4 linked regions of the Notamacropus eugenii genome follow. The protein of the gene in region 1 binds, or shares a complex with, the protein of each later gene. Links are inferred from orthologs where the notes say so. Each region holds a gene or a part of one and is shown on either strand. Other genes may lie near its edges.

The links.
Region 2: the proteins of ARF1 (region 1) and IQSEC2 are in contact, whole or in part, in a crystal structure (PDB 6FAE), measured with the Homo sapiens proteins. The link is inferred for Notamacropus eugenii from reciprocal best matches to the Homo sapiens genes ARF1 and IQSEC2. Residues at the interface, in NP_001019397.1 of Homo sapiens: Arg19, Gly24, Leu25, Asp26, Ala27, Lys30, Thr31, Ile46, Pro47, Thr48, Ile49, Gly50, Phe51, Asn52, Val53, Glu54, Thr55, Thr64, Trp66, Asp67, Val68, Gly69, Gly70, Gln71, Lys73, Ile74, Pro76, Leu77, Trp78, His80; in NP_001104595.1 of Homo sapiens: Arg810, Gln811, Gln841, Arg845, Val846, Gln847, Gly848, Glu849, Ala850, Gln851, Val853, Glu854, Glu858, Asp879, Phe882, Ile883, Phe886, Ala887, Ile889, Leu890, Asn892, Thr893, Asp894, Tyr896, Ser897, Pro898, Ser899, Val900, Arg904, Met906.
Region 3: the proteins of ARF1 (region 1) and AP3B1 are in contact, whole or in part, in a cryo-EM structure (PDB 9C5B), measured with the Homo sapiens proteins. The link is inferred for Notamacropus eugenii from reciprocal best matches to the Homo sapiens genes ARF1 and AP3B1. Residues at the interface, in NP_001019397.1 of Homo sapiens: Glu17, Arg19, Tyr35, Ile46, Pro47, Thr48, Ile49, Gly50, Phe51, Asn52, Val53, Glu54, Lys73, Ile74, Leu77, His80, Tyr81, Asn84; in NP_003655.3 of Homo sapiens: Glu52, Asn54, Pro81, Val84, Lys85, Val87, Ala88, Asp111, Leu112, Leu114, Leu115, Ile117, Ser118, Thr119, Gln121, Arg122.
Region 4: the proteins of ARF1 (region 1) and AP3D1 are in contact, whole or in part, in a cryo-EM structure (PDB 9C5B), measured with the Homo sapiens proteins. The link is inferred for Notamacropus eugenii from reciprocal best matches to the Homo sapiens genes ARF1 and AP3D1. Residues at the interface, in NP_001019397.1 of Homo sapiens: Tyr35, Ile46, Pro47, Thr48, Ile49, Gly50, Phe51, Asn52, Val53, Glu54, Trp66, Lys73, Ile74, Leu77, His80, Tyr81, Gln83, Asn84; in NP_003929.4 of Homo sapiens: Lys48, Asp50, Phe77, Ile80, Glu81, Ser84, Asp107, Met110, Leu111, Thr112, Thr113, Asn114, Gln115, Arg117, Lys118.

Annotation. Positions count from the first base shown.
Region 1 is NC_092872.1:9,976,045-9,983,969, forward strand, and holds the start of ARF1 (ADP-ribosylation factor 1), read right to left. Parts: upstream 3,002-7,925; 5' UTR 2,844-3,001; intron 2,690-2,843; exon of another isoform or gene 2,536-2,689; intron 1,456-2,535; exon of another isoform or gene 1,361-1,455; intron 1-1,360. UniProt on the Homo sapiens protein: Small GTPase involved in protein trafficking between different compartments. Modulates vesicle budding and uncoating within the Golgi complex. In its GTP-bound form, triggers the recruitment of coatomer proteins to the Golgi membrane.
Region 2 is NC_092879.1:102,346,694-102,354,170, forward strand, and holds the start of IQSEC2 (IQ motif and SEC7 domain-containing protein 2), read right to left. Parts: upstream 3,003-7,477; 5' UTR 2,931-3,002; coding exon 1,807-2,930; intron 1-1,806. UniProt on the Homo sapiens protein: Is a guanine nucleotide exchange factor for the ARF GTP-binding proteins.
Region 3 is NC_092875.1:472,068,153-472,076,155, forward strand, and holds the start of AP3B1 (AP-3 complex subunit beta-1), read right to left. Parts: upstream 3,001-8,003; 5' UTR 2,975-3,000; coding exon 2,802-2,974; intron 1-2,801. UniProt on the Homo sapiens protein: Subunit of non-clathrin- and clathrin-associated adaptor protein complex 3 (AP-3) that plays a role in protein sorting in the late-Golgi/trans-Golgi network (TGN) and/or endosomes.
Region 4 is NC_092875.1:64,317,984-64,325,459, reverse strand, and holds the start of AP3D1 (AP-3 complex subunit delta-1), read right to left. Parts: upstream 3,013-7,476; 5' UTR 2,671-3,012; coding exon 2,575-2,670; intron 1-2,574. UniProt on the Homo sapiens protein: Part of the AP-3 complex, an adaptor-related complex which is not clathrin-associated. The complex is associated with the Golgi region as well as more peripheral structures.

The sequences.
Region 1 (7,925 bases):
AGTCAAACAGTACAAAAGAATGAAGGGATAAAAAAGGAAAACCCCCATCTACCTGCAAACGCAAATATCAGATCTGGTTCTCATAAAAACAAAAGTACACCTCTAACACTAAGACAGCAGTACACAAAATGGCACACAATGTAAATGCTTGATTTTTGTCTTTTTTTAAAAAAGGCTCACCACAACAGCCAACCATTTTTTGCAAGTACTCTGCTCCCTCCAAATCAAAATTTATTGTTAATCACTTACAGAGATGAAAAAGTTGAGATTGTAACTTTCCTTTGTTCCAAGTTACTCCTACCTTAAGTACGAGTTAGCAGGTACTAGGGTGTGTGGAATGCCCTTGTCATGTTGGGTAAGAGGTAAAGTGAATGGCTAGATCACATGATTAAAAATGCAGAACTGTTAGGGTGTAGGGCAACTGCTTTTTGCATGCCGACTATAAATCTTGCTTCAGTTATTTCCTATCTTTTAGAGTTGTAACAGTATCAGCTCCCCTCAAATGCTGAATAACATTTCTAAGAGTATGCCAAAACAAACTTTTTTTTTTTTTTTTAGAACAGAAGCAAGGGGAATTATGTGACATCCTTTTGAGATAGCCAGATACCTTCAGACTTGGGGGTTGTAACTGGTGAGCTGAGTTACATGGATAGACTGCTTTGTCCGTATATTTCCCTAAAATCATAGTCTATCACCCAAGTACTGGAGAGAACACATTTCAGTAACATGTGAAGATAAACAAACTAGGCTTGTGATTAATTTTTAAACCATTAAACTCCTTTTAACTTTGGCCCCAACTAACACTTGGTACTTCAAGGTCTAACAGTTTGAATCACTGACTATTACTAAAAACTAAAGTTAACTGACAAATTCATCCTCTCATAATACTTAAGTTTTAGTTTAGGCAAAGAACGATACCTAAGACTAGGACGGGTCACTTAGATGTGTAATCCTATGTTTTATATTTGATTAGAAGCACTGATGAAAAGATGAGGATAAAATTAGCATTTTACAAACTGCTGAGGAATTGTTCTAAAAGAGTAACCAGGAAACTGCTCCATCTCCATAGCCCCCCTACTAACTAGCTGTATGACCTTGGGCGTGTCACCTAACTCCCTCCCCCAACCAAATGTTCATTTATAAAAGGGGCAGAGTGGACTCCAATCCTCTTACGTCTAAAACTCTATGATGACATATTCTAGGAATTGTTTCCAGTGGCATCTGAAAATCACTCCCAAATTTATTTAAAACATCACTCAGTCTTCACAAATTCTCTTAAATCTCTGACCGGGCTCGAGGTGCCGTCGGAATAAATTAGTTACAACGAAGTGCTGTGTAATTAAGTTATTATCGGAATTACATTTCTACACGCGGTTCACAACCAGGATTATGCAACAGCAAGCGCCCAGCGGAGTCACTCCAGTGACGGAACTGTTCCTCCATCCCCTCTCTACATCTGGCCGAAGGGCTGACCCTACGGCAGGGACACCGAGCACAGGTCCACGACGACCACCGACAGCAGCCTGGACACCCGCTCCCCGAAGGTCTGCCTCCGATCGCAACGTCGGCGGCCAAGCACGCCGTTCTCCCGGGATCGGCACTCGGTGTAGACCGACCGCGCTCCTCCACAAAGGCCGGCGGTGTGGCAGTCGGAGAAGTCGGTCCGAGCCCCAGCCTCGGGTGACCTTGGGCAAGTCACCTCCCTTGCTGGCCTCGGGGCACCCAGCCGTGACCCCCTCACTCCGAACCTTAGGGGCGTGGGGTCGGAATCCGTCTACACGGCATTTCCTACAGCTAGGCGTTATTACAAACCCGACCAGGAACAGAAACCGGGATGCCTCCTCCTCCTCCCCCCTTCCTTCCTCCACCGCAAAATGACTCAAAGCCTCGGGCTCTCGGCGGTAACCTCCCTGCGGGCGGCCGGAGAACGGCTTCGTGTCCGCCTCGGGGTCGGGCCGGCTCCGGCCTTCGGTTAAACATGGCCCGCCCGGGCCAAGGGGGGCCCGAAGGAAGCTCGGCGGGGCCGAGTGTGAGAGGAGGGAGACCCGAGTTCGAACCCTGCCCCCGCTGGCCTCAGTTTCCCCATAGGGAACCGGCGGGGGTGGGCCTCGAGGGCCTCCAGGCCCCCGCTTCCGCCCCGATCCTATAACATACTAACAAAAGCTCCGCAGACACCCCACGACCCGCCGCCCCGCCCCCGCTCGTACCCGGCTCTCGCGGCCTTGCCGCCTCGCACACCGGAGGCGCTTCTCCGACCCGGCTCTCTGGCCTCCGCGGTCCCCGCCCCACCCCAACCCCGCCGCCCCGGCCCCAGGCTCCGCGCTCCGGGCCGCCCCCTCACGAACCCCCCCCGCCGTGGGCCTCCCTCGGTCGGAGCGCGGCCTTCCTCGCCGCGGACCGCCCCGGCTGGGCCCGGCCGCCTCGGGCCTGGCCTGCTCTGGCCCCGCTCCCGTCACCTCCCCCGCCCGGCCCCGGCGCCGAGGACGGCCGCGGCGGGGCAGGGGCCCGGGGTGGCGGAGGGGGGCCTCGCCTTACCTCCTCGCCCCTGAGCCTCGGGCTTCCCGTCTCCTCACCCGCGAGCGGCTGCCGCTGCTTCTTTTTATCGGCTCTCCAGGCGTTGGTTTTGCTCCCACAAGATGGCGGCTCCCGACGGCAGCCACGTCAGTGCCAGGGAGGGCCGTGGAGGGGGCTGGGTAATCGGCGGGCTGCGTCACCGCTTCGCTCCGCCCACTCCCCCGACTTCCCGCCCCACCCTTCCCTCTATCTCCTCACCCCTCCCTCCCTTCTTCCCTCCCCCAAGATTGCGGGCTAAGCGCTTCCGAGCCCTGCCGGGCCCTTCCTACCTCACTCGTCTGTCTCCCGGGGGCCCTCCGTGTCCTCCCCTTGTGCGCACGCTCACAGGCCGCTCCCCCACTCCTTTCCACTTTTACGCGCACGCATGCGTACCGCTCCCTTTCTCCCTGCCCTGCCTCCAGCAGGCCCCGGCCTGAACTCGGAGAACGCAGGCTGCGCATGCGGCCTTGGTCTCCTACGCTCTTTGCCCTACTTCCCGGGAGCCTCTGTGGGGGCCGGAGCAGGCAGGGGTCGGCCTCGTTTTTCGCTATGTAAAATCATTCGTAAATCGAAGCTCTACCAAAAAAACCCAACCACTTTTAGATTACCACCCTGCCCCCCCCTTAACTAACCGGACTTGTTTATTAATTGATTCCCTGGGGAAAGGCTTTAAGAAAACAATGCTTCTCTCCAACACCCCCTCCCCCTCTCTGTTCATCTCTTTAAGGTGCCCACCTGCTGGGGTCCCGTGCCCTCCAGGCGGCCAAATGCCCCCCAAGCCTTCCTTCCGCGGGCTCTCACGTGGCTCCTTCCCTAGGCCCTCGGGGTGGGGGTCAGCCGCGTCCACCCGACCCCCTCCTTCCTAAGGGCCCCGACACCGCGGGGGGCGAGGCCGGCCGGACCCCGCAGCCGGGGCCCCAACGTGGCTTTTGTGCCTTTAGGGAGACTGAGGTCTGCGGTGGCACAGGGCCTGGCGGAGGGCGCAGCCCGGACCCCGGACCTCCGGACCCCCGGACCCCGGACCTCCGGACCCCGGACCCCTGGACCCCCGGACCCCGGACCCCGGACCTCCGGACCCCGGACCCCCGGACCCCCGGACCCCGGACCCCGGACCCCCGGACCCCCGGACCCGGCTGGCCGAGCTCCAACGAGGCCCCGCGGAAATGCTCAGTCACTCAGAAACCCTTATCAAGGACCTAGTGTGTGCCAGGCACAAGCACTAGGGAAATGAGAAAGACAAAGGGCTGGCCACCGTCTACGATCGTCCTCAGCATTAGTAGGGTATTGTGTAATGTGCAGCGTCCATCGTTATCAATACATTATGTCATATGCAGAGACCGTTATCAATACATTATGTCATATACCATGTCCATCGTTATCAATACATTATGTCATATGCAGAGACCGTTATCAATACATTATGTCATATGCAGCGTCCATCGTTATCAATACATTATGTCATATGCAGAGACCATCGTTATCAATACATTATGTCATATGCAGCGTCCATCGTTATCAATACATTATGTCATATGCCATGTCCATCGTTATCAATACATTATGTCATATGCAGCGTCCATCGTTATCAATACATTATGTCATATGCAGCGTCCATCGTTATCAATACATTATGTCATATGCAGAGACCGTTATCAATACATTATGTCATATGCAGCGTCCATCGTTATCAATACATTATGTCATATGCAGAGACCGTTATCAATACATTATGTCATATGCAGCGTCCATCGTTATCAATACATTATGTCATATGCAGAGACCATCGTTATCAATACATTATGTCATATGCAGAGACCGTTATCAATACATTATGTCATATGCAGCGTCCATCGTTATCAATACATTATGTCATATGCAGCGTCCATCGTTATCAATACATTATGTCATATGCAGAGACCGTTATCAATACATTATGTCATATGCAGCGTCCATCGTTATCAATACATTATGTCATATGCAGAGACCGTTATCAATACATTATGTCATATGCAGCGTCCATCGTTATCAATACATTATGTCATATGCAGCGTCCATCGTTATCAATACATTATGTCATATGCCATGTCCATCGTTATCAATACATTATGTCATATGCAGCGTCCATCGTTATCAATACATTATGTCATATGCAGCGTCCATCGTTATCAATACATTATGTCATATGCCATGTCCATCGTTATCAATACATTATTATGTCATATGCAGTGTCCATCGTTATCAATATATTATGTCATATGCAGCATCCATCATTATCAATATACTATTATGTCATATGCAGAGACCGTTATCAATACATTATGTCATATGCAGCGTCCATCGTTATCAATACATTATGTCATATGCAGAGACCGTTATCAATACATTATGTCATATGCAGCGTCCATCGTTATCAATACATTATGTCATATGCCATGTCCATCGTTATCAATACATTATGTCATATGCAGCGTCCATCGTTATCAATACATTATGTCATATGCAGAGACTGTTATCAATACATTATGTCATATGCAGCGTCCCAGCGTCCACCGTTATCAATACATTATGTCATATGCCATGTCCATCGTTATCAATACATTATGTCATATGCAGCGTCCATCGTTATCAATACATTATGTCATATTCAGCGTCCATCGTTATCAATACATTATGTCATATGCCATGTCCATCGTTATCAATACATTATGTCATATGCAGTGTCCATCGTTATCAATACATTATTATGTCATATGCCGTGTCCATCGTTATCAATATAACATTATGTAATATACAGTGATGATCATTATTAATATAATATTATGTAATATACAGCATAATACTATCATAATCTTTCTTCCCCATTGACCAGAGCTTACTTAGCTCTGGGGAAGAGTCAATCCACAATATAGTGTTTATTAATTAAAACAAACTGAATGTGAAAGGTGAAAGGACCAGCTTTCTGGAGTTAGATCACACAGGGTGCCCCAAAGTCTTAATACAAGCTTTTTTTTTTTTTTAAGCTATAACTTAAAAGTGAAGTTTCATTTTTACTTTAAGCTTAAAAACTTCACTAAGACCCTTGGAGGGGCAGCTAGGTGGTGAAGCGAACAGAGCATCAGTCCTGGAGTCAGGAAGACCCTAGTTCAAATCTAGGCTCAGACCATTTACTAGTTGCCCAAATCACTTGAATAGGCTTCAGTTTCCTCATCTGTAAAATGAGCCGGAGAAAGAAATGGCAAATCACTCTAGTGTCTTTGCCAAGAAAACCCCAAATGGAGTCACAAAGAGCTGAACAGGACTGAACAACAAAAAGCCCCGTGGGACACTTTGTATATTTTCATTGATTTAGATCTGAAAGGGAGGTCCAAACCCCTCAATTTCAATCAATAAACATTTATTAAGTGCCTACTATGTAAGAGGCTAAGGTCTGGGAATCCACAAAGAGGCAAAAAGCAGTCTTATCCTCAAGGAACTTACAGCCTAATGATGAAGAAAAAGGCTCATAGTGGTAAAATTTGTCCAAGGTCGTATGAAGTAACAAGGAACAGACTTGGAATGCAAATGAGGAAGAACTCTTTCCTCTGTCTATACTTCCCACTAAGCTACTTGGGAATAGGTCTAGGACTAATTAGGAGGTTCCAGGCTGGACTTTCCCAACATAGTGCTTTAGGTCACCATTTTAAAGAGTTATTGAATCATAGGATCATAGCTGTAGAGAGGGAAAGGGACCTAGAAGTCATTCTGTCCTATACCCTCATTTTACAGGTATAGCTGAGGCCCAAAAAGGTCACTTACCTCAGATCACACAGGTAATAAGTGGTAGCTAGGTGTCACAGTGGATAGCCTGGAATCAGGAAGCTCTGCCCCCAGTCACTTAATAGCTGTGAGATCCTGGGCATGTCACTTAACCTGCATCTGCCTCAGTTTTCTCAGCTGTAAAATGGGGATGATAATAGTACCTACCTTAAAGGGTGAGAATCAAGTGATACAGTAACTGTAAAGCCCTTAGCAATGCCGGACACTTTGGTGGTGTGTTCACTTGCTGTTCAGTCATGTCTGACTCTTCAGGACGTCGTTTAGGTTTTCTTGGTAAAGATACTTAGGTTGGTTGCCATTTCCTTCTCCAGTTCATTTTATAGATGAGGAAGGGTGAAGTGACTTATCTAGGGTCACACAGCTAGGGAGTGTTTGAGGCCAGATCTGAAATTTGACTTCGGGCCCAACACTCTATCCAATGTACCACGTACCTGGCACAGAGTAGGTGATTAAGAAATGCTAGCTTCCTTCCCCCATCATTGTGCCATCATAATGAAAGGCTGAAAATCTGTAGGGATGAGTTGAGGCAGAAAAATAGACATTTCAGCAACATTCACTGTGTCCTGCCCTGTTCTGGTGCTGACCTCCTGATCTTGACTTTCCTGTCTGGCCTCCAAATTCCCACTTCTATCTTAGACCTCTTGGTTTTGGTTTATACACACTTGGGTCTCAGCCCTGGTGATAGCATAGTGATAAGAGCTGAGCTCTCAGGGATGTTGAAATAAAAGTCACCAGCAGGGATTTTAAAGTATTTACCATGTGGCAGGCACCTTGCTAAGCTTCAAGGTTACAAAAAAAGGCAAAAAGCAGTTCCTGTCCTCAATGAGCTTAAATTCTGGTGGGGGACACAACATGTGAATAACTTGTGTGTCTAAGATATATTCAGAGTAGATTGAAGGTAATCTCAGATAAGGCACTAGTGGCTGGGGGAGCTGGGAAAGCCCACCCTGCAGGAGATAAGATTTCAGCTGGGCCTGGTGGGAAACTGAGGCAACACATGGGGGAATAGTCAGTATAGAGGAAAGGAGACAGGAGCAGAGGATATTATGAGAAACAGGAAGTATCTAGGCCCACTTCTCCATTCATTGCACCCACCCAACTACCTATAGAGGACATAGCTATGAAAGAGATGAGAATTGAACCCATGGGGAGCAGATGAGATCTCCAGGTGAGATTGCATGGAGTGAAAAGAGGAGGCTCTGGAAAGACACTTGGGGGATCCCCAGAGGAGTGCAGGAGCTGGCTCAAACCATCTCAGGAAAGCCTGTTGTTAAGTTTTCCCCCTGGGAAATCAGCAAACACTACAAATTAGGACTTGATTTATTGTTTTGTCTGGGTTTAAGAAAGTGATGGATAAAATGTTGTTAAAGTGGATTAAATTTAACAGTGTGCCAGGGGACATACTTCCCCCTCCCCCTTCTCCCCAGAGGACTGATTGTTAAATATTTATCAGTACATCACTGGGGGCACACAATTAAGAGTGCATGATATGAATGAAGGGCCAGCAAAGGGGACTGAGGAGCATTTGGACTGATAGAAAGAGAACTAGAACAAAT
Region 2 (7,477 bases), on another chromosome or scaffold:
CCCCTCTTCTAGCAATGTCACTGCCAGGCATTTATCCCAAGGAGGCCAAAGCCAGAAAGAGAGGCCCGAGATGGATCCAAGTATTCATACTAGCCCTTTCTGTGATCACCGGGGAATGGCCAGACAAAAGTGTGAAGCCTGTGAAGGTAATCCAATGTTGCGCCAACAAGAAACAATGATATGAGAAATTCTGAGCAAGGTTGGGAAGACTTGTATGAACTGAGCAACCACGAAGAGATCCCATCGTCACCATCATCACTGTGTAACCAGCATTTCTATGGCTAACATACCCAGGAACCCCAATCGGAATTGCACAGGGCTATACAATAATCGACAACAGGAAAGAAGAAAAAGACAGGAGGGCTCACAACAGCCCTCTGACTGTTCCACACTCTGTCAGACCAGGTGTCTTTGTTTTTCCTTTCTAAGAGAGGGGACTGTGGGCACAATGTACAGTCAAAATCAACATGCATTTTTAATAAAACCTAGAAAATGCAAAAGCAAAAAAAGGTGGCTTCCTCTCGATATTGGATGCAGTCCTCAAGCAAGGGCTTGACCAGTGCGGAGGACAGTGGAACTATTCCCTTCCTTTTCCTTGATAGGACTGGGGACCCTATTGTCCCGTAAACCCCAGAGCTGCCACCCAAGCCTCTTGGGCTAGCGTTGAAATGGCAGGTAGATTTCCCCAAGACACAAGGCTTCCTGACCCCCAGCCCTGCTCTGGGGAGAAAGAGGGAAGTCAGGCAAGGCAGACTGGGAGAAGACCAAGGAAGCCCTCCAGGGTTTAGGGTCCCCCTCCCCAGCCTGACTGGCAGGGCAAACCAAGAAGCTGACCCAAGCTCAAAGAGCCCCTAAGAGCCAGAGCTGAGGGAGCTAGGGCACCAGCTTGTGTGGGAAGCTCCAGAAAAGCCCCCCACCCCCAGCCTTTCTTATTTTTACTCTCCCGTCAGCACATTAACACATCCCCTGCTTTTCCACCAAGACATACCTGTCTTGGGCAGTGACCTCTAAGAACCCATGTGAGCTCAGCTGCCATAACCTTCCTTGCACTCAGTATCAGATAGACAGACCAATACAACCAGAGACACACAGAGCAAAGACAGAAAGTTGAGGTCGAGAGGCCCCAAACACATACTATCTTTGGCTGCTGCCAGGCCAGATGGAGAAGGCCCTAGAGGGACCATAGCCAGGGCTGCCCATCCCCAGAAGCCATCTCCCCTACTCCCAGCAAAGGAGGAAATTTGCAAATCGACCCAGAGTGTCTCCTAATCTCTTAGCAGAAGGGAGACATGGGCTCCGGAGAGGAGTGGGTGAGGGTGGGCAGTTTCCGATCCTCTGCAGCCCCTCCTCCGGGGCTGGGGGCAGGAAGAGGGCCATGGGGCTCAGAGCTGAGGGCTCAGCCTCCCTCTTAGGGTCACAGACGCTTAGATCGAGAACCGAAAGGGACCTCAGAGGCATGACATCCAATCCCCTCATCTTCCAGACATGGAAACTGAGGCTCGGAAAGGGAAAGTAACTTGCCCAAAGGCACCAAGGGAGTAAGCAGCAGGTTTCCTGACTCCAGCCAAACGGGGCTGGGCAAAAGGAGGGGGGAGGAGGCTTCGGGGATCAGTGCCTAGGGGCCAAGGCCACCAGAGGAGCAAGGCCCCCAATCCATCGGCCTCCCCGCATGCCTGTGTGATCCTCGGGTCCCGGGCTGAATCGGGGCCAGCTCCCACGTGCGCGCAGGCACAGCCCTGTCCCCCGCACCCCCCAGCCCCGCACGGGAGCCCCGCACCCAGCCCCGACTCCGCCGGCCTGCCTTACTTTCTCCGAAGCGTCGTGGCCGGGCTCGTGCTTCCGCTGGTGCTGTGGCCCCCGCCCGCCCCCGGACTGGAGCTCCTGGAGGCCCCGCGGCTCATCTGGCCCCGGGGCGGTTGCGGGGGCTGCTGCTGCGGCGGCGGCTGCGGCGGCGGCTGCGCCTGGGGGGGCTGCGGCGCCTGGGGGGGCTGCGGCTGCGGCGCCTGGGGGGGCTGCGGCGGCGGGGGAGGCTGCTCCCCCCGGGCCCCGCCGCCCCCCGCTCCCGGGTACGGAGAGGGCTCCTCGCAGGGGCGGTGGCGCCCGCCGGGGCAGTCCCGGCCCGCGCGCTCGTGGTGCAGGTGGCAGGGGGCGCCCCCGAACGGCCCGTCCCTCTGGGGCTCGCCCCGGGCCGCGTAGGGCGCCTTGGCCGCGGAGGGCGGCGGGGCCCGGGGCGGGGGGCCCAGGCGAGGCTCGCGACGCAGGTGCAGGCGCTGGGTGTCCCGCAGGTTCTGGTAGGGGCTCTCCCGGGCCTGCAGCGGCCCCGCTCCGGCCGCGGCCGCCGCGCCGGCGCGCAGGTCTCGGTTCTCCCGGCTCAGGCGGTCCACTTGGCCCTCCAGCTCCTCGATGCGCCTCCGCTGCGTCTCCAGCAGCTGCTGCTGGCCCTCGATGATGTTGTTCAGCTCCAGGAGGTATTCCACGGCGCGGCTGGGGCTCTCCCCGGCGGCCCCCCCCGCGCCGCCCCCCGACTCGTCCATGGGGGCCCCGCGCCACAGCCCCCAGAGGCAGCCGCCTCGGCCTCCTCCTCCTCGCTGTCCTCCCCCCCCAGGGCCCGGCGCTGGCGCTGGGGCCGGCCCAGGGGGAGGGGGCCGCCGGGGGCCGCGGGCGCGCACGGGGGCTGCGGGCCCGGGGAGGGGGGGACGGAGGCCGGGGGGGCGGCGGGGGGCCGGCAGCCGGGCCTGGGCCGGGGGGGCAAGGAGGAAAGGAGGACCGGGCGAGGGATCGGCGCCGCGGAGCTCCCGGCTCGGCTTCGGGCTCCGGCTCCGGATCCGCTGCGGAGTCACTGCGCAGTGCCCCGACCGAGTCCGCCCCTGGGCCCGCCCCCTGGCGCTGGCTCCGCCCCCTGGCCGCCTTCTCGGCCCTCCTCCGTCCATCAGTCCATCCCTCCTCCGGGCCTGCCCAGAGCGCTGGACGCCGCGCCCGGGGCCCGATGAGTGGGGCGGCGCTCCCCCTCGGCAGAGCTTCCGGGGCCCGCCCACCGCCGGCCCTGCTCCTCCCCCTCGTGGGTCTCCCTGAGCCCTCCGTTGCCTCCTCCCTCAGGCTCGGTTGCACGGATCCCTCCCCAACTCGGCCACGGGACTGGAGGGGAAGCAAAGTTGAGCGGGCCGGGGATGGGGGGTGCGGGGGTGCCCAGATGCACCCCTCCGGTCTTCCCCTTCCTTCGACCCGGGCTTCCGGGCTGGGTCTTGGGATCCTGGACAGGTGAGAAGGGGAGGGGGGGGGGGCAGATTGGGCAGCCTGGGACAACTGGATTGAAAACGGGGATAAAGCGCCCACTCCGCCACCTGGCCTTTGCTCAGGCCCGCCAAGAGTGCCCTTCCGAAGTACCAAGTGCGGGGTGGGACCTTAGCCAATGAGTCGGTCAAGAAACGTGTTAGCACGCACTGCGTGCCAGTGCCAGGCACTGCGATCGCTTCGAGGGGTACCTAAAATACAAATAAAAACACAATTCCAACGCTCAAGAGGCTTATAATTTAATGGAGGTAGAAGCTGAAGGGAGGGCACAAGGTGAGTCCCCCCCACCGTGGAACTGGTGGGAAAAGAGGACGAAACCGTGGGCAGCCGGAGGGGCCAATCCGAGAGACAGAGGGGACAGAGGACAGGTGGCTACACAGGCACAAAAAGTCTTGAAGGATAATGACAAGTTACTTGGGGAAGGAAGCTGTGATGGCTCAGAGCAGTGCAGCTGGTGGGAAATGGGTCTCAGTTTCCCCAGAGGAGTTGGCAGAGATGCTCTGAGAATCAAAGCATCAATGCCTCCAGAGGGAAGGAGAGATCGGTGTTTAATCTGGAGGTCCGACTCAGCTAATTAGCCAGCTATCCTGAGGGCCCCCAATGGGGGTGGGGTTACCCACAGCCCGTCACAGAGGCAGGCTCTTATTTCCAGCCCAGCTCCACCACCTGCCGCCACTGCCGCCGCCGCCCGCCGCCGCCGCCGCCACCACCACCACCACCACCACCACCACCACCACCACCAAGATCACCGCAGCCACCACACCTGGCTGCCTCGGAGCATCCCAAGCCGGGGGAAGTCTTTTCTTCCCCAAGCCCTGAGCCTAGCCTTGGGGTCCCTCCACCAAAGACCAAACTCCCACATTACTCCGAAACCCCCAAGCAAGAGAGAGCGGAAGGCAGAGGAGAGGGAGAGACAGATGGACTGACAGACAGAACTCAAGTAAAACAGAATCCACCCATGAACATGACTAATGTGAAAATGTGTTTAATAAGAATGTATGTGTAGAACTCATATAAGATTGCAAGTCATCTCAGGGAGGGAGGGGGAGAAAATTTAAGACTTATGGAAGTGATTGTTAAAAACTGATAACAAACAAATTAAAAAAAAAAAGATCCACCCATGAGCCTCCACCAACTTCCTGGCCAGCTTTTTCACCTCTGTGCTGCACCCCAATCTAGACCCCCCTCCCCCTCCAGTCCAGCTCCCCTGGCCCTGCTTGCCCTTCCTGGTCTGTTGAGAGAGCCAGGCCAGACCCAGCCTCCACCTCCCCTCACCACATTCCCAGCCCTGGCCCTCACTTTTTCCTCAACCTTCCATGCCTCACCCCTTCCTTTGGAGGTGGGGTCAACATTGGGATCCCCTGGAATCCCCAGGAAGGGGGGCAGATCAGCAGGGAGAACTCCAGAGACAGAGTTCCTAGGGCAGTGAGCAGCAGACCAGCTCTCTACTGCAGTGACCATTTAAGCCTGAGATGGGGAATTGCCATGCCCTCAGAGTACGAGGTCCCACCCCTAATGGGGCAGACAGAAGGGGTAGTTAGCAGTGAGGATGAGGAGGGAGCTACAGGAGAGGAGGATCCGGCCCCACCTTTTTCCCTTTAGTGAGTCCTGGCCTCTGACTCTGCCAAGATCTTTCCCTGCAGACTTCTCCCTTCCCCTCCAGAAGGTGGGAGCTCTTTGGTAGTGGGGCTCCCTGGCTCATTGATCTCCATCTCCCTCTACTGGCAGGACCCAAGAATCAAAGACTGGCAGAGAACTGAAAGAGGACTTAAGCAATCACTCTCCTAGAACCAGGGCTCATTCAACTGCACAGAAGAATCCCTGGGGGCTGCAAAGTGACTTAGAAAACCACATAGCAACATTATCTCTGTTCAATTGTATGTTTTTTTAATTTTGTTAAATAATTCCCAATTACACTGTAATCTGATCTGTCAGCTCAGTGTTACAGGCAGCACACATGAGAGCCTCTTTCCTGGCGGTCGTCAATTTCTTTTGCTTCATCCTCATCCACAGCCAGATTCCTCCCAAATCTCTCTCGAAGGCCCTCCTCTCTCAACACTCTCTCACTTGGTAACCTCCTCAGCTCCCATGGGTTCAAGTCTCACCTACCTATCTACGGGGTCCTAATCTCCCTCCCAAGGCCCTATTCCACATCACTACCTAACTGCCTGTGGGACATCTCTTGGATGTTCTGTAGCTGGCATCTCAAATCCAATGTGGCAAAACTGGGGCACATTCTCTTTCCTTCCTCTGGGTTTCCTTATTTCTGGTGATGGCTCCACCTCAACCCTTCCAGTCACCTCAGCCTCAGGGTCATTCTCACTAGAGACCTAACTCGAAGGTCTATATTCCTCTTCTCTCCACTTACAACCCCCAAATCGCTCCTCTCTAACCCTAAATGCCTCATCCCTACTCACCTTATTCCTCCTCACTGAAGCCTCCAGTCCCTCCATCATTCCCTATTCTTCCTACTCTGGCCTCTCTCCTCTCTTCATGGCCTTGATGTCTAAAGGACCTCTTCCCTTGAATCCCCCGCCCTCTGGCCCCAGGACACAAGCCTGAATTACCCTCACCATCCATTTTCTCTACTCCTGCTTTATGAGAAAATCGAGCCCATCCATTTTAACTCCCTCTCCTTCCCCACTTTGTACAGCCACTCAGCCACGTCCCAATTAGTGCAAACAATGAATTCCATGGTCACATTATTCAAATTCCATTGGGCTAGAACCAATTACGAGACTGTACACAATCAAAACTTTGAATAGTCTAGATTCAAATGTGTGGGACCACTTCATGGCATTGACTGTTGACATCAATCAGGACCTGGCTATGCTTCAAACTACCTTGACATCATCCCCCACCTCTCTCCTTTTTTGCTCCAGTCTCTCCTCAGTGACGTGACTCTTCTCCTCACCAAGGTCAACCACTTGACATGTGCCCTTCATCCCATCTCCTCCAGATGCTTGCACCTTTGGATGGTCCCCACCCCTTAACCCAACTTCAGTCTCTTCCTTTCTCAGCCAAACTCCTAGAAAAAGCTGTCTACAATTGGTGCCTCCACTTTCTCACCTCCCACTCACTTCTCAACCCCTCACAATCTGGCTAATTCCGACCTCATCACTCCACTGAAACTGATCTCTCCAAGGTTATGAATGATCTCTGCTTAATAGCCAAACCTGATAGCCTTTTCTCAGCTGTCACCCTGACTCAGTTTCCTCAACTACAACAATGATATCCACATCCTAAAGTTACTGTGGAGTGTATCGAGGGAGATAATGTGTGTGAAGCACTATAGAAATCATCCCCACCTCTAAGACCTCTTTGCAGTTTGGGACAACCATAATGGTCTCCACCCTCTCCTGCTGGCCACTCTCCTCCTGCTTGTCTGCTCCTTCTCTGTCTCTGCTGGAGATGTATCTATCTCCTGCCCTCTCACTGCAGGCACCCCAATGCCATCCTGGGCACTTCCTCTGTGTGTGTGTGTGTGTGTGTGTGTGTGTGTGTGTGTGTCTTGGAAGCAGTTCCCACTTTCCTTTTGAGCTCCAGCTTTATGTCACCATCTTCCTCCTGGACATCTCCAACCTGACATGTTCATGAAAGCTCACTATTTCTGCCTGGATTTGGAACCACAATCATCCCCCCTCCCCAGGTCCTCCCTCCTCCATTTAATTCGCTGTCAAGTCCTACAACATTTCTTACGCCCCTTCTCCCCAGACTTTCAGCACTTCTCATCTGGTTCCCCCATCCCAGTCTCATCTTCCCAAGGCTATTTCCTTGCTCCAGAAGTTTCAAGTGACTCCGTGGGGTCCCTAGGGCCAAATCCAAGCTCTTGCCCTGCTTTCAGTGACTGCCTCTTCATGACCTATGTAGCCTGGCCTATTGACTGTTGACATCTTGCCATTCCCCTTCCCCAGACCCAGCCTTCTTCAGGATTCAGTTGAGGTGCTGCTTCCCACATAGTGGGTGGTCGTGCTGGTCTTGGGATGCAGCAGGTGCAGAAGAGATATGTAATACATTGGTTAGAGGGCCTATGGAGGCCAGAGTCTGCTTCCTGGTTTTCTTGAGGTCTCTAGCGCCTGTCAAAGTGTAGACGCTGAAGTCATGTCTGCCAATGCGCTGGAGGAATGTTTCTCTTCCCAGGTGATCAATTCCTGTTCCAGCGCTGGCGCTAGGCCTGGGGTCAGGA
Region 3 (8,003 bases), on another chromosome or scaffold:
CCGAAGGAGCCTGTAGATCCCACACCAAGTAACAGCACAGCTGTTCCACTAAGAAGTTCCAACTGGCTCAGCCTCAAAAGGGCATAAACAATACCAGGGAAAGGAAAACTCCCACGGGTGAAATATTAAAGCAGTACCCACTAACATTAATTTATAAGTATCCTCTTTTATGAGTTCCTCCAGGAAAGGAAAATGCCTATTTTCTTTGTAATTTTTCATTGCTCCTAAAGTCACCATATAGAGTTATTACTGTATATCCCACTAATTCAGAAGACTTGGAGAAAAGATGTCAGAATTATGAAACACTTTTCAAAAAGGCAGGTTTTACTTTCCAGTACACAGAGTAACAGAAACTTTTAAAATGTCGCCAAGAGTACTCTAAGAAACTTAAAATGACAAAGAAATACATGTCTTGTACCAGCTGATAACGATGACCTCCATGTAACTTCAAACTATCTTTTTGCTTGCACACTCTCTACAAATGAATGTTGGCCCAATCATCCCAAAGTTTGGGAGGGAAATGCTTTTTTAAGCAAACTAAATATTTCCTATGCAAATATTCCCTCTTGTTTACGCTACGAATTTGCTCAAAGTTCACGGATACAAAAACATCAGCCTACTCCACACACACAAAAAAAATCTTAATGAGAAGCCTTTGAATTCATGAATACCTACGGCCTTTACTGAGGTAATTCCTCCCTTCGTAACTACTTTCAAAGAATCACAAGTACATTACTCAGGTCCCTTTTTTCTCCTTCTTAGTTTGCTCTCAACTCTCACTGCTTATTGCCGGCTCTCCCAGAAATGCCTCTGTCTGCTCTCACCTTGCACTGTGCACCCTGTTTTGATGCACTGAAAAGCACTTCCATTAATTACCTCACTTGGTTCTACACTATGAACATCTCTATTTAGAAAATGAAAATCCAAAGAAAAAAGGGACTTGCCCAGGGTTACAAAGTTATAATCCACTTGGTCTGTGAGGCAAAAAGATTTATCAGAAAAGAAAATTATGCCAGTGGCTGAGGTTAGCTGTGCTACTGAATTTACGTCATTGTAATATCAAAGTTAATAGCAGAGCTCCTCTGAGAAATGAAATATCTGCTTAAAAAAAAAAGAGAGGAGTAAATAGGGGATGCCACTTAGCCACAGCAGTTTTGAATATCCTATACGGAATATTTAAATTAGGTTACTATAAGAAGGCTTTTCCACAGAAATTTACATAAAGTCAGAACAATTCTTAAGTGTAAAAAAGTCAATATCCTGGTCTAAATTCAGATTCCAAACACCACCCTTCCTTTTCTAAATAAACAAAGTTTACACAAATTCTGTTCTCCTGCGAATACTTCAAAAAGAAAAAAAAGCAAGTTCTAATCTACTTGTTACTATTAAAAAACTTTGTTCTATCAAGCACAACGAAATCTTGGAAACACAAATCCATGTAACAGAATCACGAGGCCTTAGGATTCGAAGGGATCTTGGATCTTCCCTAGGCCCCCGCCATTTTGCAGATGAGGAAACTGAAGCCCAAAAGTCCTTGTCAAAAATAATCATCACCCATTTATGAAATATACACACAGATTAAGTGATAAGCACAATTTGGAGCCAATATTTCTTTAGTTTAAAGATAAAATTTCAATTTACTTTAGTAAAGAGAGATGCACTGTCACTGTTAAGGATGAAAAGAATTTCTTTAATTCCTTTTGTCTGTCGCCAATATTCAAGATAACCTCAAAGGTGCTGAAATAATAAATATATACATTATACATATGTATCACTACTAAATACATAAGATATAATACAATGATCTTAATTTCAAAGGTGAAATCAAATGATGACTTGAATCTGAATCTAGAAGGAAAACTGAAAATTTGGCAACAAGGATTGGAGATGGGAAGCAATTTTTCATCCAGAGAAAGAAATATTCCTAGGTTTAAGAGGTTAACAAGAGGTGACAGAGACAGAACCAGGTGGAAGAACAGAAAAAGCAGGTTCTTTACTTCAGTAGTTTGAACCATTTTACAGTGAGTAAACAAAAAAACAGACTGTAATCTCTTCTATTTACATTTCATACATGAATTACCAATTTCTAACTTTTCAATCTATTTATAATACTGGATCTCTTCACAGATGCAGTATGTTAAAAATGAAAAAAATGTTGATCTTTTATTGTGTTAAAGTATTAGACGTAGCTAGCTTTTAAAAATGTATATATAACTTATTAACCTCATATTTTAAAAGCTGTGTGTGTGTGTGTGTGTGTGTGTGTGTGTGTGTGTGATCCTGAAATGCAACCACTACTTATTTCTTCAGGCAAAAATGAAGGTCAAGTCTGATTCAGATTTAAATGGCTTTTCACCTTTAAGAATTTTCATACAGTTAGTATTACTCATTACTAAATGAAGCATTCCCTTAGAAGAGAAGGTTGGAAATGTAAGAGGGTAAAAACAAAACCCTAATAATCAACTTTAGGAACTGTTTATTCCATTATCTAATACAATGCTTTCATTGCTCTTTTAACCTTCCTCATAATTTACTTAGAAATTCTGCATTTACCTAAGTATCGCATTTAAAGCACTTTGACAAATGATCTTATAAAGAAACGAGCACATGAAAACATTCTGATATGAACTCATCAAAGGTAATGGAGACAATCAGGTTCTCCTACTGTCCTTAACTCTTTGATCATTAACCACCACTTGCCCTTTTTAAAGTAAAAGAACCCAAAAAATCTCTGGTTACAATTTTATCATCTTTTTGAAAGACTACTTCTCTTAACAATTTAGAAAGGTCCAAACACTTACCTAATAATAAAAGGACATTCAATTGGTTCAGTAACAGCATCTATGAGCCCTTTCTCTTCCACAGTTGGTTCAGATTTCAGCGTAACTTGGAGGGTCTCTGCTAATCCCAAAATAGATTTAACTGTAGAAGATACTGCACTAACATGACCCAGAAATGAAGATTCTTCTTCCATTATCTCAAGTTAGGAGAAATTGGCTGATTGTTTCATTAGAAATTTAATTATAAAAGGTTATTAAATTCTAAGACACAGGATATCCACTCCCTTCACTGAGCAAATGCCACCAAAAATAATGAATAATTTCAAAGTTCATTTTCCTTTAATAGAATTTCTTATCAACTTCCCTAGGTAAACAGATATGCCATTTGTTAAAAAAAAAAAACAAACAAACAACTTTTTTTCTGATCTCCCACACTTTGTGGTACAACAGGAAATGTTTTGTATCCCTAACAAAGCATCAAAAAACTAAGATACATGTATCAAACATCAAGTTACAAAATGCCACAAATTCAACTAGTTTCATCTGTTAAGAGAACCCAAACAAATCTTATTCCCAACAGATTTAATAAACCAGGTCACCAAGTCTTCTTAACAACCCTTATTTCTTCAAACAATGACAAACAATGAATGATGGAAATCACTGACAGAGTTCTCCAATATATCAGATGCCATGGTTTCTGAGCTGCTGATAAATCAGCTACTGACTTACATTCAGTGAAGGGTTTATGTACAATTTTAATGCTCATACCTACATTATGGACTTTAATTTCACTTTGGCTGTCTACTGTTTACTTAACTGTATGAGCTTAAAGAGGTCAATATTTGTCCTCCGTTTCCTCATGGACAAAAGGAGTTCACCCAGATCACTGCTGAGATACCTTCCAGCATTAAGTCTTACTGTTCTGTGTTTCTGGGGATTTTCTCTACCATAACTGTCAAATTTCTCACAGCCTCTCTGCCCTGTCCAATTCTGCTGAGGCATGTGACCATAGTGTCAACAAACATTTAAGTATCTATTCTATGCTGACCACTGCGAAAGGTACTACATGAAGGTAAAGAAACTTCATCCTGTCCTCAAGAAAATTAAAATCTAGTTGGCTTGTTATACTTACACTAGTAACTACTGAGCATATCAGAATGTGTTAAATGCACAAGAAAATTACAACATCTTGAGTTCAGATGGGAAAGGGATCAATCACTACTGCTAGGACAGAAATGAGATGGTTTATCCCATGAGTCAGTTGGGGGCAGGGAGGTAGGAGGAGGAAGCAGAATGCATCACAGGCACAGGAAACAGCAATAAAGGCAACATGAAAAGGAGAGAAAGAGCATTCATCCAGATGACTTCTTTTTATTGACATCTCTTATTTTTATACGGTCCTCATCCCACTCTCTTCCCCAGAGTCAAACCTTCTACCAAAGAATAAGGAAGAGAAAAAGTGGTGAAACAAAACTAACCAACACATCAACCAAGTCTGACAGGATTCGTAACATGTTCTGTGCCCTAAACCCTCAACCTCAGGAAATAGAGAGATGAGCATTTTCATCTCTTTTTCCCCAGGAACGAGCATGCTCCTAAGTTTACCACAACCCCCCCTTTTTTAATCCTTCTATTTATTCTGCAATAAGCATTGTGAATGTTCCTTTCTTGGATCTCACTTCACCTGGCATCAATCCACATACGCCTCCTCATGCTGAATTCTGCATTTTCATCACTTCTCATGGCACAGCATTATTCCGTTACATTTCTGTGCCACTATTTGTTTAGCCAGACACCAAAAGATAAGAATAGACTTTGTTTCCAGTCTGGCCATGGTAGCACTCAGATGGCAACATCCCAAGTTCAAGAGCTCCAAGGTTCCTAGAGGGTCCAGAACATTCAGCACTCCCAACCTCAAAGATGCAAGGGGGTACATCCTAGTTAAGAGAAAGAACCCAGGTGACCCCCTGATGAGAGCAGGAGAGATAAACACTCCACCCAAAAGCACATAAGGGGACAGAAGCTGAGCGTAGCACAAAGCCCCTATTCTAGAATTAAGGGTGGAAAGATGAGTAAACCAAATAAGACATAGATCATTATTAAAGCATTATAATAAATTCAGAGATATTTTCTTCTTCTAGGTTGGATTCTGGGGTAATTCCATTACATCTGCAAGGTGAGAATCAAAGGAAAATATAGATTTACCAGAAAGACTACATAAAGGACAAGAAAGGCATCAAGTAGTTTTAAAGTGAAAATGGTAAATGCTAACCAAGAATGGACCTCCTAGAAACTAGATTAGACCAAACAAAAATCAACAATTTCATGAAACAAGAAGAAATAAGACAACAAAATCAAAAGATTGAGAAAAAATGTAAAATGTCAAAAACCTGTGAAAGAGAATTTTAGATGCACCAGACTGAAAATCATGATTTAGGAAAAAGACCTAGATGCTGTATTTCAACAATTCATCATTGAAAACTGCCTAGATCTCTTGGAAAGAGAGGACAAAGTAAGGCCAGAAAAAATTCATTCAATAATTTTCTGAAAGACATCCCAAAAGGAAAGGTCCCAGGAATGCCACAAACAAAATTCAGACCTTCTATGTCAAAGAAAAAAATACTATAAACATCCAGAAAAAAAGTAATAATTCAGTTCAAACACCAAGCAACCACAGAAAAGATCACACATGACTCAACACCTTCAACTACAAACAAGAGATCTTGGCATAAGGTATTTCAAAAGAAACATTCCATGTGCTTCCAACCAAGAACACCTTAAGCTCAGGGGAAAGCTCAGGGGAGGGAGGAAAAGGAAGGGATAAATCTTTAAAGGAAAAGATCACAGTTTAGCAAGAACACAGGACTCAAAAGAAACCTAGACAGGTAACATTTTTGCCAGTGGGAAGGGGCTCAGGAAAGCTAAAAGGATAATGTTCTTCTGGGAGAAAAGAAATCTTTATCCCTCCAGAAGCTTACTGTCTTCATTAAAGGTCACAAGGTGACAAAAATACAGAGAGTGCAGGGATTGAACCTGGGAAAGTCTAAGTTCAAATCCTCTGCTTCAGATACTTAATTGGAGTGTGAAGTCACTTAACTTCTCTTTGCCTCAGTTTCCCAACCTGTAAATAGAGATAATAATAGAACCTAACTCTCAGGATTGTTATGAGAATCAAATGATGCACAGAAAACACTTCTGGGGGTTACTACTGTTATTATTATTTAGTTCTTCAAAAATTATTGAGGGAGTTAGATAAGAAAACAAAGGACCTCGGGGTGGACTGGTTCTGTTCTGGGGGTTTTTTAGAGGGGAAGAAGGGATACACTGATACACACAAGAAGAAGGAGGTAGAATTTACTATTTCTTATAACTGGGGTGCATTCAGAAGAGTAATAAACTGAAGAAAGAGGAAGTGGGAAGCAAAAGAATCTCATTCTTAACTGAAATACACAAAGGAAGATAATGGAGAGGAAATAGCCAAAAAAAATTTCCTAATCATTAAGTGAAAATTAAAAAGAGAAAAGGAAAGAAAAGAAAAAGTAAGGGGATGTCCACGAGGGAATGGCTAAATAAACAGTGATATATAAATAAAATGGAATATCATTGTGCCCTAAGAAATGACAAAAGATTATTTCAAAGAACCCTGAGAATTAAAAACAAATGTTCAGTAAAGTGAGCAAAAACAAGAGAACAATTCATACAAAGACATGGACAACTGGTAAAAAAAAATAATAACTTTAAACAGTTAGTTTAATAAGAATGTATGTGTAGAATCTGGGGTGTAGGGTGTGTTCAGGGAGGACCAGTACCTTTGGTGTGATGGCTGCTGAGCCCTTTTCAGGGCTCTTTCCACCTTTGGTGTCCACCTGTTCCACTCAACTCTCACCTATGGCTCCGAGAAACTACAGCATGCGCAGCGGCCACACCCTGGTAAACCGTGTCAGCAGATAGGCCAAGCCAGGTTGAGGGCAACCAAGGGTTCTCAAACCCATTGGTGAGTTAGAGGGGTGTCTACCCCAAGCATGTGAAGACTTCCTCTGGTGGAATGGGCGGATGAGAACAATATATGAAAACATCTGCAAAAATGATTCCACTCACCACTGGCACATGGAACATGCGCACACCAACAGACAACACAAAATCCAGCAGACCTGAAAGAAGAACTGCTCTTGTTGCAAGAGAACTCAACAGGTATCACATCCAAATAGCAGCCATGAGTGAAACAAAGTTGGCAAATGAAGGCCAGCTTACTGAGGTTGGAACTGGATACACCTTTTTCTGGAGTGGGCGCAGTGAAGGGGAGCACTGTGAAACTGGCGTGGGTTTTGCAACCAAAACTAATCAAATCAGCAAACTGGTATGCCTGCCAAAAGGAGTGAATGACAAGCTCATGACAATGTGATTGCCACTCACAGGAAAACATCATGCCACCATCATCAGTGCCTATGCTCCCATCATGACAAACCCTGATGAAGTCAAAGAAAAATTTTACGAAGAACTAAAGACCCTTACCATCAATGTGCCAAAAGAGGACAAGCTTATCATTCTGGGTGGCGTTAATGCTGGATTAGGCTCAGACTACCAGACTTGGCAGGGAGTCCTAGGGAGGAATGGAGTGGGAAACAGCAACAGCAATGGTCATTTACTGTTGAAGACTTGTGCATCACATGACCTTCTCATCACTAACACTATCTTCCATTTACCTAAACACAATAAAACTTCATGGATGCGCCCTCACAGCAAACAGTGGCATCTAACAGACTATGTGATTATAAGGAGAAGAGACAGACAAGATGTGAGAGTGATAAAGGCAGTGAGAGGTGCAGAGTGCTGGACTGATCATAGACTTATCCTTTCCAAGCTAATATTTGCATCCATCAAAAGCGCTGACTCCAAGGCAAAAGGACTACCAGAAGAATTAATGTCAACAAATTAGAGTCTTCTCTGAGCTTGAACAGTTTGCTGCTGACTTGGAGGGAAAGTTGAGCCAACACACAGCTGACAACAGTGGAGCAGAAAAGGAGTGGGCAGCTTTCAGAGATTTGGTGTACAGCACTGCATTTGCTCATCTGGGTCAGAACACTCACAAACACCAAGACTGGTTTGATGAAAATGATGGGGAAATTCAGAAGCTGCTAAATGAAAAATGAGAACTGCACAGGATTTACCAGAAGCATGGTTCATCCACCTCTAAGAAAGTAGTACTTAATTCCATCAAAAGCT
Region 4 (7,476 bases), on another chromosome or scaffold:
GGTGCCCAAAGTCATGTCCATCATTCAATGAATAGATATGCTTTACTTCTTTACTCAGTCCTGCACCCCAACTCAACAATTTCACTATACCTAACTGTCGATTAAGTTTGCTTGGAAACAAAAACTCCATTACTCGAAGCTACTAATTATAATTAGTCTGGAAGGGGAATGATTAAATCACAAATACCAGAATATGCATTTCTTCACTGAGGGGTCATTACTCTTTTGTTTTATTAATTAAAAAATATAAACATAGCTAGAAAAACTCAAAAAGCACATAGACTAATGATGGGGAGTTAATAACCAACTCAAGAATCTGTGAAACTCAGCAATTTTCATATTTCCCGGAACTTGGGAGTGTTTATTTTGAAGAAGAGAAGACTTAAGAGAGACAGAGCAGCTGACTCAAAACCATAGCTTTAACTGATGTATGAGCAGGAAGGAGATTAAGATGTTTGACTTGAACAAGATGATCTCAAAGATACCCTCCAGTTATTTGACTCTATGCTGCCAACACTGTTCAGAGCATCCTGTTCTTCCACTGTTTTAGAAGCTGGAGGAGTACAGGATGGAACACTGATAAAGCCCTCCCTTCACCCATGTTAGACAAAACAAACAGGAGTTCATGGAAGTTCTTACTACTGCAACTGAAATGACAGGTATCAAGAGTGGCGACAAGACAATGGATGGCACATGCACCCCAGCTCCCAGCTCAGTCCCATCCTATCCTGTCCTCAGCTAGCCCTCTCTCCCACTCTAGTGTTCAAGAGGCTAAGATGATCTAGGCTGGATCTGGACTCAACAAGTCTTTTTCCTGAAGAGCTCTCCAACTGTGCTTGACTCTGGTACCGTTTCCTGGAATCAACTGACAGGTGTCAGATGGGAACCTGCAATGAAGAGTGCTGGCAAGCAGTCAGGTAAGCTGCACCTAAGGGGTTCTGGAGAGATGTTCCCACTATATTCCTTCAATTCAGTCAAAGTTAGAAGGTGTTTTTAAAGTACATCAGACAGCTGGTCCCTTAACAAATAATGCAGTCATGGATATAAAATATAGACTCTACCCAAGCTGCAAAAAATACCAGTTTCTTTTGAGTTCAGTTCATTTTTCTCTAAATGACATCAAAATATAGAAAAGCGTACATAAATGGAAACAAAGTGGCATATCCCAAGGGAATTTCCACCTTATCTGTCAATATTATACATGTAACAATAATTCCTACAAGAAATTAAATACCTGTTCCTTATCTTTACCCTTCCTAAAAAGCCTTAGGATAGGCAGGTATCATAAAAAGCAAATCACATCTTGTAAACTATTGCAGATACCGGACTACTCCTTACCAGTTTTTTTTCCCCCTCAATTTGAGTAAAGAAGAGGAAAATGAACTGTCCTCAACAGTGAGCTTTTTCAGAATGTGGCAGGATTTCAGACAACAGTGCTTGAGAAACAATAACTCCACTGAAACTGATCCTTACTTAGTTCCTTTCCCCAAAACCACAATAGCAGGATTCTAACAGTTTCTCAACATTTGTAACCGGGCTTGTAACTGTCTCATAAATGAGAATCAAACAAGAAAGGCAAACAAAATGCAAAGATGATAATATCTCAGTCTTTTGAAGTGTTCAATAACAGTCCTGTAAGACTAGATGTCGAGATATTCAAACTGACACCAGTCATCCAGAGCACAGAAAACGGTTTTGCCTTTTAAGGACGCTTCGGGAATAGTTTACAAGGTGGATACATTCAATGATACTGTTGCCACTTTTTTTCATACATCCCATCACATGTTTACTGAGCCCCTGCCGTGCAAGCCCCTTCTCGGTCTCAGTTTAGGGCCGGCTGAAGTCACATGCACTCTTTTCCTCCCCACACCCTATTTTCGGCTTCTTTGAGGTCCACTTTTCCACTCCCAAGGCCCCACTGCGGCAGGCCCTCGTCTTCTTCCTTATTTCAACTTTGATTGAATTATCGGGGATAACTCTCCGGCGGCAGACCAGGAAAGCGCTCCCGGGGAGGGTCACTAGATCGGGCAGGAGAGCTTCCTAAAGGCTCCCCGTGTCCCCCGCACCCCCAGTGAGGCTCAGCTCGGGGTTCGCCTGGAGTCCTTGCCCAGACCTGAGAGTAGAAATGAAACCATCCAAGACCCCGGGGCGTTGGGGGAAGGACGGGTGGGGTTCGGAGGGGCCGGGAAGGATTTCACAGCCCTGAGCACACTTCTGAGCAGCGCCCTGCACACAACAGGCGCTCGATAAATGCACGGTGCAGTAACTGCATAGATCAGAGGTGGTCAACCTGGAGGAGCTCCGAATTATACAAAGGGGGACATCGGGGATGCCCAACCAGAGCATCGGGGACACGGACACACGGGCACACACACACACACTCGGATTCAGAAGGGCCTTGAATGTGGCGGGGGGATGAGGAAGGCGCCCGCCACGGGGGCGGAGACCGGCTAGCCGGAGCGCCGCGGGAGGGAGGCGGCGGCCGGACAGGAGCCGACGTGGCCGTGCCACTGGGGGCGTGGGGGCAGCCCCTGGCCCCGGGCCTCCCGGCCAGGCTCGCGGGGCAAGGCTCACCTCGTCTTCCTTGTGGTTCCGGATGCCGCGGACCAGGTCCTGCAGGTTCTTGTCGAACATGCGGTCGATGCTGCCCTTCACCATCTTCAGCGCCATCGCGGCGGCGGCAGCGGCGGCCGAAGCCGGCCTGGGGCAGGGGCTGGGGGCGCCGGGGCGGAGGGAGAGGGCTGACGGGAGGGGGTCGCCGGGCTGGGCCTGCCGCCGGGGGCGCTCCGAAGCGAGGGAGGGAAGAAGGGCAGGGGGCCGGGCCGGAGGCCGTCACATCCCAGACGGAGGCAGCACGGGGCGGGCGGAGACGGCGGCGGCGGCTGGACCGGCGCCGGCTCGCTGCCTGCAGGATTCTTCCCTTAGTGCTCCCGCTCCAGTCAGATTGCAAATGGCGGACAAGATGGCGGCGTGGTCAGCTGACAGCTCTCGCCGCTCCCTCCTCCTCTCTTCGCTTCCCGTAGGCCCCGCCCCCTCATGGCTCCGCCTCCCTCCGAGACTGGACCCGCCCGGTTCCCAAGGACGCCGAATCCGGCTTCCCCCACCCCCTAGCGGCCGCGCGCCACGTTTCCTTAGCGACCCCTGGACCGCCCAATCGGAACGTCCTTGGCTCCTCCTCTCTGCCCTGAGAGGCCTTCCCTCCAACCTCTGACAAGCTCAGGCCCCGCCTTGGATTCTCCTCCGCGGGCCCCGCCCCATGGCGCGTAGCCCCACCTACTCAAGCTCCGAAACTTGTCTCACTGGTCACCTAGAAATAATAGTCACGCCCCTTCCAGACTCCTCCCCCCGTTTCTCTCGGGCCCACCCCTCCCTGAGTGACAGCTAAGGGGACAAACGTGAAAAAGACTGGGAGCGGAGCGTTGACACGCGTCCCTTGGAACACCCAGCCCCTACAGGCTGCCGGCTGCCTTGCTGCCCAGTAGCCTAGCAGGAGCTACCTGAATGGCCGATGCTTCCATTTTCTTTGGATCATTCCATTCATTCACTCATTCATTCATTCAACTGACATGTAATATGGATCTACTGCGTGCAGAGTGAGTGCCGGGGAAAACAGAAAGTTTAGAAGAGACAGAGTCCGGGTCCTCGTGGCGCTCACAGGCTGATGGCACCCACTCCGGATACTGCATGAGCAACACAGAAGAGAGATGTAGACTGCATGCTCTCTGGGGTGGGGCAGGTAGGTGGCCCTAGCCCGAGGGGGAAAGATGTGAGTTCATTAGCTGGGTGACCCTGGGCAAGTCACTTAACCTCTGCCTGCCTCAGTTTCCTCATCTGTAAAACGAGCTTTATAAAAGTACCCGCCTCCCAGAGTTGTTGTGAGGATCCAATGGAACAATATTTATAAAGGGGAGAGGGGCAGACAGCCTGGTTGTCTGGAGTGACAGGGGAAGGAAGGGATTTTTAAAATAGTAATTGAAAAGATGAAAAAGGTGTTTTTAAGTCATAAGATCATAGCTCAAGAACTGGAAGGGGTATCTGAGGTCATCTAGTCCAACCCCCCCTCCCATTTTAGGGATGAAGAAACTGAAGTAGTAACTGAATTCCAAACAGAAAACATGGAACCTTACATAGTGGGCAAAGCAAGAAAGCCTCTTAAAAGGGTTTCTGAACCTAAATGAGAGAACCTGTTGAAAGGATCTTAGACATCTCTTGCTTTAACTTTCTGCTAAGTGCAAGAAGCCTCCTCTATTTTTTTTTTATTGATGGAGTCATCTCTTTTGCCCTTCTAATGACGAGTTCTTTACCTGGAACCATTCTGTACCACTGCTGGTCAGCTTAAAATGTTAGAGATCTGTTCCTTCTATTTGAGGGTTTAGATAGATAGGTTTAGATAAATTGATTGATTTTGCCTTTCTGTTCATTCTCAGCACTTAGCATTGACACATGGTAGGTGCTTAACAAACACTAGTTGACTAACTGGCAATCAATATCCTTGTAGCTTCCTTCTATTCAATTAATCAACAATCATTTATTAAGTATCTATGGGCCAAACACTTTGCTAGTCATTGGGGTACAGGGAGAGGGGGAAGGAGAGAGAGGTGCTTGAGACAATGTTAACTTCCAAACTGGAATACTAGAGGGCATGTCTGGGAGGACCTAAGTCACTGGGATTTGTGCTCCTTGGGACCATTGGTCTTCACCTTCACCCAGGACATTTTCTGCCTTAAGGCCACCCCAAAAGGATCTCCTGTCACCCTCCCATTTCCCCATCTACTCCATTTCCCCATCTTATTCTGATAAATAGAATCCAATTATCATTATGTTCTCCTTTAATAATAATGGCTACCATTTATATAGCCTTTACTTTACAAAGTGACATATATGTATATATATTGTCTCATTTGATCCACACAACAAACCTATAAAATAGGTGCTGTTATTATCCCCATTTTACAGATGAAAAAAGTCCACCTTCAGGTCTGCAGATTACACAGCTAACTCTATCTATCTATCTATCTATCTATCTATCTACCTATATATATACATATATATATATATACATATGTGTGTATGTATATATGTATGTCTGTGAATATATATATCTGAAGCAGAATTTGAAATTAGGTCTTCCTAACTCCAAGTCCAGCACTCTGTCCAATGCACTACCAAGCCACCTCTAGAAAAGGCATGTCTTTTTTATTCAAGAAACCAAAATGTCAAAGTAGAAGGAAAAAAGTAGAGATCAGTTCTATACTATCACTAAACAATCTGATTAACCAACTCATCCCTTAGAAGAGTAGTAAATATCCAGATCCCCTAAGGGATGAAAGTAAAAGTCTTCAGGTGAAGAAGAAGTACTCAGCTGTAAGAAAGAAAACTGAAAGACTTTCTGCACTACTCTAAGAAAAACTTAAAAAAAAAATCCTTTGTAAATAAAAACAGCCTCTGCAAAGGTTTCCCATTGTTTTTAGGTGGGGAGGAAAAAAGTAGGGGAGGTCTTTAGCTGACATAAATAAAAATAAAGTTCCTCCTCTCTCCTCCTCCCTCTCAAAGAACAGGTCTCAACTAGGTCTCTTCCACCAAAGAAAGGCAACCTTGGATTTAACTAAGAAGTAAAGAAACGGCCTCTTCTTCTTCTCTCTCCTCATGTAAAGGAACAAACTTCAACCAAAGCTGATCCAAGGCAAAAAGGAAAAGGTGGGTATCTATGATGGAAGAAAAGACATGAGCTGAAACCACAACCCCAGGAAAGGGAAAGTCTGGCCTAAACACAGGAAGGATCCTCAATTTGATTTGATCCCTGGAGACATAGAATTCAACTGCTGAAGCCTCAGCAACAAAAATAAGTAAACAAAAAAAAGTAATAAAATTCTTTTATGATGCCAAGGATGACCAAGATGCAAATGTGGCAGAAGAGAATAATTTAAAAACATCTATAATCAAAGATTCAAAGAAACAAAAACAGTATGCCTATAAGAACAACAAGAATTCTTTAGAGAAACTGATGTAAGAATTTAAAAAAGGTATTATAAGAGAAATGAGAGATATGGAAGAAAGATTTGGGAATAGGATCATCTGCTTAACAGAAGAGAGATGAAAACTTACCTAATAACAAACTTAAAAATCAGAATGGAAAAAATAGAAATTAATGACTCTAAGGGACAAGAATTCTTTTTTTTTTAAGTCAAAGGATTAAAAAATAGAAGAAATATAAGTTATCTCATATCACAAACAGATTGAGAGATAACTTAAGAATCATAAGATTACCTGATCACATTTCAAGAAATCATTAAAGAAAAATTGCCTGGTTTTATATTTCTTACATTCTCAAAGGGCAGGGAAAGTGGAGTGGGAGGGAGAAAATATGAAACTGAATGTAAAATAAAATTGAATGGGAAAAAGAAAGAAAAATTGTCAGGACATATAAGAGTGCAATGAGAGGGGAAAAAAAGAACCTATGTATGACCTATCTAAAGACACTTTAAAAAAAATTCCAAGAGATGTCATTGCCAAAATCCAGAGTTTCCAAACAGAAGAAAAACACTATAAGCAGCCAAAATAAAAATCAAATATCAAGAAACCACAGTCTGGACCACTTAAGATTTAACAATTATCACAAGACAGGAATGGAGAACATGAAACGAGGTATTGCAAAAGGCACAAGATAAAGGTTTATAACCAAAAATTACCAACCATAATTAAGTATAATAATAGAAGGGAAAAAATAGATCTTCGATGAAATAGAGGACATTCAAACATTTCCAATGAAAGAACTAAAATTGAAAAGAAACTTTGAAATACAAATATAGGGGATAAAAAAATAAAAATGCAACTACAAATGAACAATCAGAAGGGACTTTATAAGAATAAACTGTTTACATTCTAATGGGAAAGGTATTCGAAAAGTTCTTTCAAAACCCTGATGTCACAAGGAATCACAGAGGTAGTCAATTGAGACAGAAGACCTATAGATAGTTTTACTATGTTTTGAAAATACTGTAAGAAAAAGGGAAATGAAGGAAGAGGAAAGGATACATTAGGAAAAACTAGGAGAAAAGATAGGGGAATTTGTTGCCACATAATTGGGTTGTACTAGTAGAACTATATATAAACATGCAAAGAGTGAGAAGGGGAAGAGAAATCACTTGAATTTTACTTTCATCTAAAATGATGAAAAAAGAGCAAAACACACATAGATGCACAAATAATATGGTATAGAAATATATTCAACTAAACAAAAACGCAGATAGGAACAGGAAGAGGGGGAAGGGGTATATACGAGGGAAGAAGAGAGGGATTGGTCATAAAACAAATCCTAAGCATGGAGAAGGGATAGCAAAGAGAAGATTAAAAAGGGAAAAAAAAGAAAGGTTTCTAACTTGAAATAAATGGGAAACAAAGAGCATAGAGAAGAAAAAGCCTAAGACAATAGAATGGGGAAAAATAAGCACTTTATCATAACTGTGAATGTGAATA